2 linked regions of the Oryzias latipes genome follow. The protein of the gene in region 1 purifies or fractionates together with the protein of each later gene. This does not show direct contact. Links are inferred from orthologs where the notes say so. Each region holds a gene or a part of one and is shown on either strand. Other genes may lie near its edges.

The links.
Region 2: the proteins of irf2 (region 1) and interferon regulatory factor 2-binding protein-like B purify together in Homo sapiens (affinity purification with mass spectrometry; 3 studies listed by BioGRID and IntAct, counting the BioPlex papers as one, with this or other methods). This does not show direct contact. The link is inferred for Oryzias latipes from reciprocal best matches to the Homo sapiens genes IRF2 and IRF2BPL.

The regions. Positions count from the first base shown.
Region 1 is NC_019868.2:24,521,995-24,525,906, forward strand, and holds the start of irf2 (interferon regulatory factor 2), read right to left. Parts: upstream 2,471-3,912; 5' UTR 2,111-2,470; intron 2,096-2,110; exon of another isoform or gene 1,273-2,095; intron 1-1,272. UniProt on the Homo sapiens protein: Specifically binds to the upstream regulatory region of type I IFN and IFN-inducible MHC class I genes (the interferon consensus sequence (ICS)) and represses those genes. Also acts as an activator for several genes including H4 and IL7.
Region 2 is NC_019880.2:2,455,357-2,459,268, forward strand, and holds the start of interferon regulatory factor 2-binding protein-like B, read right to left. Parts: upstream 2,576-3,912; 5' UTR 2,292-2,575; coding exon 192-2,291; 3' UTR 1-191. Other genes in the region: kiaa0586 (protein TALPID3), read right to left, coding at 3,315-3,429, 3,896-3,912. UniProt on the Homo sapiens protein: Probable E3 ubiquitin protein ligase involved in the proteasome-mediated ubiquitin-dependent degradation of target proteins. Through the degradation of CTNNB1, functions downstream of FOXF2 to negatively regulate the Wnt signaling pathway.

The sequences.
Region 1 (3,912 bases):
GTGCAACAAAGACGGCGAGCAATGTTGGAGCTATCCATCCGTACAGTTTTGATCCAGATTCCAGCTCAGCCAAGGAAAACAACATGGATCTAGTCATCTACAAGTAGATGCATTGGAATGGAGCTTGTGGCCTTCAAACACCATTTTTTCATCTGCTCCTGTTTCACAACGATTTGAATAAAGAAATGCACAGAAATGCAAGTTTGAGCATAATTTTCTTCATATATGTCCTTAACCATCAGAAAAAGGCAACAAGAACGTGTTGAAACACTAAAAACACCTTTTTCCACGGGAGTGGGTCTGGAAAGGACAAATTTGCCAATGACAATGCCTCTGTTCTCTAAAAGTGGCCCTCAAAAACGCTGTCCGCTGCTCCACATGCAGCTGCAACAACAGTTAAACATCAGCTGGTACTTTTAAGATGTGCTAGAGAAAAGACAAGAACACTCAGCTGCAAGACAGCGATACAAATGCTCGGCTTGAAAGACAGAGCCTTGAAACCATTTTTAACAGTAACAGGATGTAGATTCCTGATTGAAATGCAAACCCCTTCCCGAGAAGCTCTAAAGCACTAAGAGGCTTTAAAGATTCACATCTTTTATTTACACATTACAAACAAGCAAATGTGGGCTGCAGCAAACCTGGACCGACTTGACTTACCTTTTGGGGATTTTTTTGTTTGTTTTTTTAAAGATGCGCAAACGCAGAAAAAAATTACTACGATTTGGCAACTAACTTCCTTTGACATGTGAACGAAATGCGTGAGCTTATCTAACACGTGTGGGCTCCCGGTTAGAAACTGTACAAGAAGGTTTTAAAAAAATGAAAAGCTGAAACATGAAACTTCACTGTAAGGCTTTTGGTTTTCAATAACATCGTTTTAAACTCTAATCTTCCCATAAAACAAGTCGGGTTTTTTGTATGGACGCAAACTCTAAAAATAGTGCCTGATAACATTACTTTAAACATATTTAAAGTGAACAAATACTAGTGAGGTCTGCTTTTAACCCAAGAGGAACCAACCACTTCAAGTCACTTTTCACAGGAACAATCATTTGTGGACAAAACAAAAGGAGTTAAATCTGTAAACCATGTGTAATAAAGATAAGGCTATTGCTATTCAATTGCAGGTTGAAAAAAAAACAAATGCCATCAAATATTTGCCTTGAAATCCATCTTTGTATGGTTAAAAAAAAAAACAAGCAACGAGAGGATTTTCTGTTAAATCAGGCAGAAGTTAAAGTATAATGAAGCCTGCAGAGTCAAACTCACCACGCTAGATTTAACATAAAAGAGAGAGGGGTTGTGATCCCTGCAGTCTGATCTGATCAAAGTCCGGTGGGCCTGACACTCCCTCCCTGCCCTGCTGCACGTTAGTTAGTGTGCTGCCAACACGCTGCCTCGTTGCAACAATGAGCTCCCGAACAGGTCAAACAGGGTGACGCCACCACGGTTCGGCTCTTCTCTGTCAGTCTCAAGACCAAAAAGGCCTCAAACTTCCACCTGCAATGCATCCGCCTTCGAATGCACCGTATGACCCCCCCAGTGCTCGATACCTAACGTCACTTTAGGAACAATTTACATTGTTTTAAAAGAAAAAAACTCAATATAAATCATGTTGACATTGTTTAATAATGTGTTTGTGTTAGTTAAATTGTTATAAACACGAAAAAGTCGTCATTTTCTTTATTTTTTTTAGGTAATTTAGTCCAGTTTACATATGGATGTAGTACATAGCTAGCTTAGGTTTTAAGAAATATAAATTGGAACTTTTAGTGTTTAAATTTAATAAAAAGGTTTTCAACAAATCAGATCGTAAAAATCAGCTCAATTTAGAACAAAATACTTTAAAAAGTTTTAAAGTATTCCACCTAGCATATCTTTTTTTTTTTTTAGCTAATTAGCAAAACAACGTTTAGCTAAAGAAAACCCACGCCAACAAAACTCTTCCGGGAAAGAAAGTTATAAACATATTTTTACAAGTTTGGTTTAGCGGTGAGGTCAATATTTACCAGCCGCGTCTACCACCAACGTGCTGACCCAAAAGCGAAAATAAATCCAAAACTAACAACAAACCGTCAGAAAACTACAGGAGACTACTTTCACTTACACAGCTACGGCTCTGTCATGTCGTCCGGTGGGGAGTCGGTGTGCGCCGTGAAGGCAGCGCCGTTAATATGCGGAAATAAAATGTTACCTTTTGGCTTCGGACGGCCAGCCGATTCACACCGCCGCGGACGAAATACAGGGGGGGAAAGGACCCCGCCGAAGTTGGAGAAAAGTCGTTCCAGGAGTGAAGCAGGGGGGGGGATTAGGTGGCCGACGTTTTTCTTTTTCTTTTTTTTCTGCACCCAGACCGAAAGCAAAACAACTGCCGCCTCGGGAAGTGAAGGTTCGAGATGGAAATCCCCCTTCAGCTCGCCTGCTCTCGTTTTGGATCGGTCCCGGGCGGCGTCATCGCTCTGGTGAGCGCTCCTCCTGAGAAAGATGACGCTGAGACATCTCACTCTGATCATTTTTCCTGCAGTCGTCAACATCAATCTCATCGCTATAACAGTGAAAGGTGAACATCAGGGCGGTGGGCTTGGGGGGTTAAGCTGCATTTTAAGTACTCTTAAAAATATATATATTTATTTATTAAAATAAAAAAGCTCCGGGTTACAAAATTCAACTATAGTAATGTTCAATTATTACATCAATTCTTTTTTTCAAATAATAACAATTTATCTAAGATTCTATCAAGACTTAAAATAAAATAAAAAAGACAAAAATGTTTAAAAATGACACCCGCCCCGACACTCTCTTCGTGGCAATAGACGATCTTTGAGTTGTATTTCATTTTCACTTCCTATCCCCCCTCCCCTCCTCATCAAAGCTTTTTCTTTCAACTCTTTTTCTGCCAGAAACGAAACCAGAAACTTCACACAAGCGCACACATGCGTGCAAGATTTAAGCACCTGCAGTTTATGGGGGAAACAGTTTGTTTTAGAGCTACTAGTGCAATTCAACTTCAGTTTAAAGGGCCCCAGATTATCCCTTTTGCAATGTTTTTTTTTTTGTGTATGTCTTGATTTAAGTCTTCATTTTACACTGACTGTTGCATTTTGTTGGAAGATATTAATTGTCTAAGCATGCTTCTTCATTCACATATTTGTTACATATGGAGTTATTTCAGTCTCAATAATCAGAAATGCACACAACCGGTTTTACAAATACACACGCTCCGATTCACAAATGTCATTTTATGCAAACGTGAAAAATAAATTCGGAAATACACACCCTGTGTTTCACAAACACACACATTGTGTTTCACAAATGCACACTAAATGTTTTACAAATGCACAATAAGTGTTTCTCACAAATGTGCACACTGTTTTTCACAAAAACATTTTAGAAATTCACAATAAATGTATCAGAAATGCACAGTAGGTGCTTCACAAACGTGATTTTTAGGTACACATGTGATGTGAACTCACAGATCATTCGAACTGCAGACTGTGCATTCAAAATCCCGTTCTCGTTTGTGAATCTCCCCGTGTGTGTGAGAGATTTTTCTACGGTGAATATTGAGACTCATCTGACGGAGCGGGTCGACTAATCTCACCATTGGCTAGTGAATCTGTCAATCAAACTCATCGGCAAAGCAGGCGGGTTCGCTTTTAGCCAATCGAATGGCCCCTTACACTTTCTCTACGCTTTCTGCAGGTGTCAAAAGCCCCGCCCATGTTTGATTCTGTACCAGTCGGTCGTTAGCGTGTTAGCTTTAGCATGGCTTGTCGGTTTATTGCCTTCGGTTGTCAAAATTTACTGGCTTGCGCAACTTTTCAGTGGACCTGGGAGCAAGGCAACAGTGGTTGAATGCAGTTGACATAGAATCCATCGAACTCTGTACTGGTCATGAGATTTACAATG
Region 2 (3,912 bases), on another chromosome or scaffold:
ACCTGAGACTCAGGTTTCAACCAAACAACAGTTTGAACTCACAGGTTTGACAGTTCTCTCAAAGAAAAAAGACTTTCTTTACAAAAAAGGGTTGAGGGGAGCAGTTTCTGCTTCATTTATGACTGTCGGTTTGATTCCCAGCTTTGATTTAGTTGGAGCATCTCCACAAAGAGGAAGAGTCCTCCTCTTCATCAGGGGTCTCTCTCCTTCTTCACCTTCACGTCTCCCGCCAGGATCGTGGCTATCTCTCCCTGCATGAAGGCCCAGGGCACGTTGGAGCCCAGGAGGGGGCACTTCTCCCCGCTGGGGCAGTACACCTCACCGGAGGCGCCCTGGGCCTTGATGCTCTCTCTGGAGCAGGGGAAGCAGAACTTGTGGACGGGGACCGAGGGACACTGGACGAAGTGCGTGTCCTCCAAGCGTTCGTGGCAGATGGTGCAGCACAGGGGCCCGCTGTTGGCCACCGGGGAGTCCGGCACGTTGGGAGGGTGCGCCTGGTCCGAGCCCCCCGCGGACTGCAGGTCTCCGTTTCGTGAAGGGAGGCGCCGCTGGCCGCTCAGGGAGGCGGGGGACACCGGGCTGCTGTTCTGTCTGGAGGAGGTGGAGTGAACGGAGTCCCTGTCCTTATTGGGAGAGTACGGGTTCCCCAGCGCGTCCGCCGCCATCGGGGACGGCCCGTTCCGCGGAGGCGCCTCTGGAGGCGTGCTGCGGCCGGAGCAGAGCCCCGGGGCGAGCGCGGGGGGAGTCCCGCCGAAGGAGCCCGCGGGAGCCCACTGCTGCCTCTGCTGCTCCTCCGCGAGCTTCACGCCGCCGTCCGCCGAGTCCGGCTCCGGGGAGGCCTTCCTCTTCCTGCCGCCCGGCCTGCCGCCGCCGGAGCCCAGCGCCCGGCCCGGGAGCAGCAGGGAGGTGGGCAGCAGCGGGAAGCTGGTGTCGGTGTGCGCCTGCGGCAGCATGTCCTCCCCAACCGCCTCCTTAAAGAACCGCAGGGACTCCGGTAACAGGTCCCCGAGCAGGCGCCAGTCCCCGGATCCGTGCTTCTTCTCGTACTCCAGGTACTTGAACCCGGAGGAGAGGCCCCGACCGAAGTCCTTCATGCAGTCCTGGTACATCTGCTTGGCCACTCCGGAGGCGCTGGAGAAGACGGCCCCGGAGCCGCTCGGGTACTCGATGAAGATCTTCAGCTCGAACTCCGCGCCAGTTTTGGACGCGGCGTCGAAGGCGAAGACCCTCCCGACCAGGCCGTGGTCCTTCTTGAAGCGGACGTCGAACGGCGTGGAGGCGGACAGCGCCAGCAGCGTCTCCCGCACCGCCTTGGGTCGGCTCGCCCACTCCTCCTGCCGGTTCCGGAGGCTCTCGCTCAGCTCCACCAGGGCCTCGGCGCTCCGCTGCTTCTCCTTCGCCTCCCGCTCCTGGTCCGTGCTGGAGACCGAGGCAGGCCGCCGCCCCCCCGGCTCTGGCAGCCCAGTTTGCACGGACATGGAGGCGGCGACCATGGAGTTCTGCGGGGCCACTCTTCCGACCAGGCCGTGCGGGACTGGCGGTCCACCGAGCAGCGTCTGCGGCAGCAGGTTCGGGGGAACGTTGGTCTGCGCCGCCGCTGACACCGGGCCCCCGCTGCTCCTCGTGCGGGCGTTCGGGCTCTGCCGGTTTAGGTCCGGAGGACCCTCGTCCGCTTTGTACCCGTTCGGTCCAACATATCCGTTGGCCTGCCTGGTTCCGCAGCTGTAGTCAAAGCGAGAGCGGGTCTCCGCTCCCCCCGAGTACCGGTCCAGACCCGGCTGCAGGGACTTCCCCGCTCCGTCCGTCTCCTTGGCGGGCAGCACAGCCGCCTGAGCCTTCGCCGCGCCGGGGAGCGCCGAGGACGGACGGCCGTCCTGGAAGCCCTGCGCCCGCTTCAGGTGGCGGGTGGTCTCGATGACGAACTCGATCCGGTCCGCTCCCTCGTAGTTGACGCATCCGCGACACACGGGCTCGGTGAAGTCCCAGATCATGGCCCAGGGCATGCGGGGCAGGTCGCACAGGTAGCATGACTGCCTGCGGGACGAGGAGAGCTGTGGGGAGGACATACTCCCGCACGGCCTCTCCGCTGAGCTGCTCCTGCGCAGAGAGGAGGACTGGCGGTCTGCCGCGGCTCCTCTCAGGTTATTGTTCCTCCTCCTGCTGCAGAGGTGGTGGGGGAGGGGGTCCCCCCCCCCCCCCCCCCCACATCCACCAGCCAAGATGAGGAATTTGGTTGCAGCACCCCCACAGATGCACCTGGCAAAGATCCCTTTGCTGGCCTTCCTCCTCATCAGCTCTTCATCCTCTGAATTGTTGCATGTCTGAACGAAACAAATGGGTGGGTGTGTGGGTGGGGTTGGGGGGTAAACCCTGCTGTTTTTGACAGATCAGTGAGCAGCGTCTGAAACAGATGAGCAGTGCTGGTGAAGGTCACGGCCGACACAAAGCTGGACGGATGCTGGCGTGTCAGACAGTGGCTGGTTGAGCTGCAGCTCAGGCGTGTCGGAACGTCGTCGGAGCAGAACCTCTGGAGTCAGACATCGAGCTCCGTTTGTGCAAACTGGATTTTTGTTAGGGGCAAAAAGGCGGAAACTTTGCAGAAGCACGTTGGTTTAAATTGCTGCAGGCAGGGGTGATTTATGCTTTAACTCCCGCCGGGGATCATCGTCCTCAGATATTTCTGAGAGGCGAGAACCGTCCACAACATGGAGCTGATGCATGCTGGTCTTTGCATCGTCTCAGAGCTAAAAGCTTCCACATTTGCATCTTTATTTATTCCATCCTTTTGTGAACAAATGCTTAAAAAAAAAAAAAAAAAAAAAACAAGCAGAAGGGATGCTGTGATGTCTCCCTGTTGTCATGGAAACGCAGGTGAAGGACATCAAGGCACGTTTGAGCTGCAGCCGCCAATGTCACGACAGGAAGAGACGTCGGTCGGCTGCAGCTGGTGCACACGCCGACCGGCAGCGAAGCTCAAGACAAACCTTGACGGGTCTTCGTTTTTAGAACAGATCTACAAAGAACCCTGAAGGTTTCCCGCTGAAATCACATCCTATTTTTTTTCCTCCTAAACAACCACCTCAGCAGCTTTAGTGGATCATCCTCTGACATTAGGGAGGGTTGTGGTTGGATTCTACGGTTAAGTCAAAGGTCAGCATCTGCTGCAGGTTTAACCAGCTGATTGGCCGCCGACGGTCCTTCATGGATGGAGGCGGCACTGTAGCAGCAGAGCTGCGTGAATCCGTCCTCCTCGCCTCCTACAACAACAACAACCGTGTGTGTGGCAGAACCTCCCCAAACCCGTCTTCCTTCACCTGGATAGCTGATGCCTGCAGTCACGGTGGCGCGTTTCCATAGTAACGGGGGCAGTTCCAGCGGCTGCGGTGATGACAGGGAGACGTCCGTGCTGCCGGCTGCAGACGGCATCCACTGAGGAGGAGGAGGAGATGAGAAGACGATATCAATCAGGAATACGCCGAAGATCTTCATCAGAAGGTTTCCCCTTTGAGAAGAAGTCTTCTGGACGTCAGAGATTTGTGGCTTTTATTCTGTGATATGCACACGTGCACTCAACATAAAAGCTATTTTTAGCTCAGATCTGCAAACATAGTGGTTCCCATGGAAACCTTAACACTTCCCATACAGGAGATCAGCTTGGCAATGCTGCCCCCTGCTGGCTGCTCATAACCGCTGGCCTACCTTCACATCTTTTAATGTCACTGTACCTGAGACAATAACAAATAAAGATCTATTCTATTCTATCATAAGCATTTTAGGTGTTTACCTAAGAAAATGTAGACAAACATCTGTTCTTTACTCAATAAGGAAGCGCCCCCTGCTGGCTGAGTTTAGCCTCTCAGTTGTCACGCATGACAAAACGTCAGGTGTGTTTTACCTTCTGTAACCTGGAGA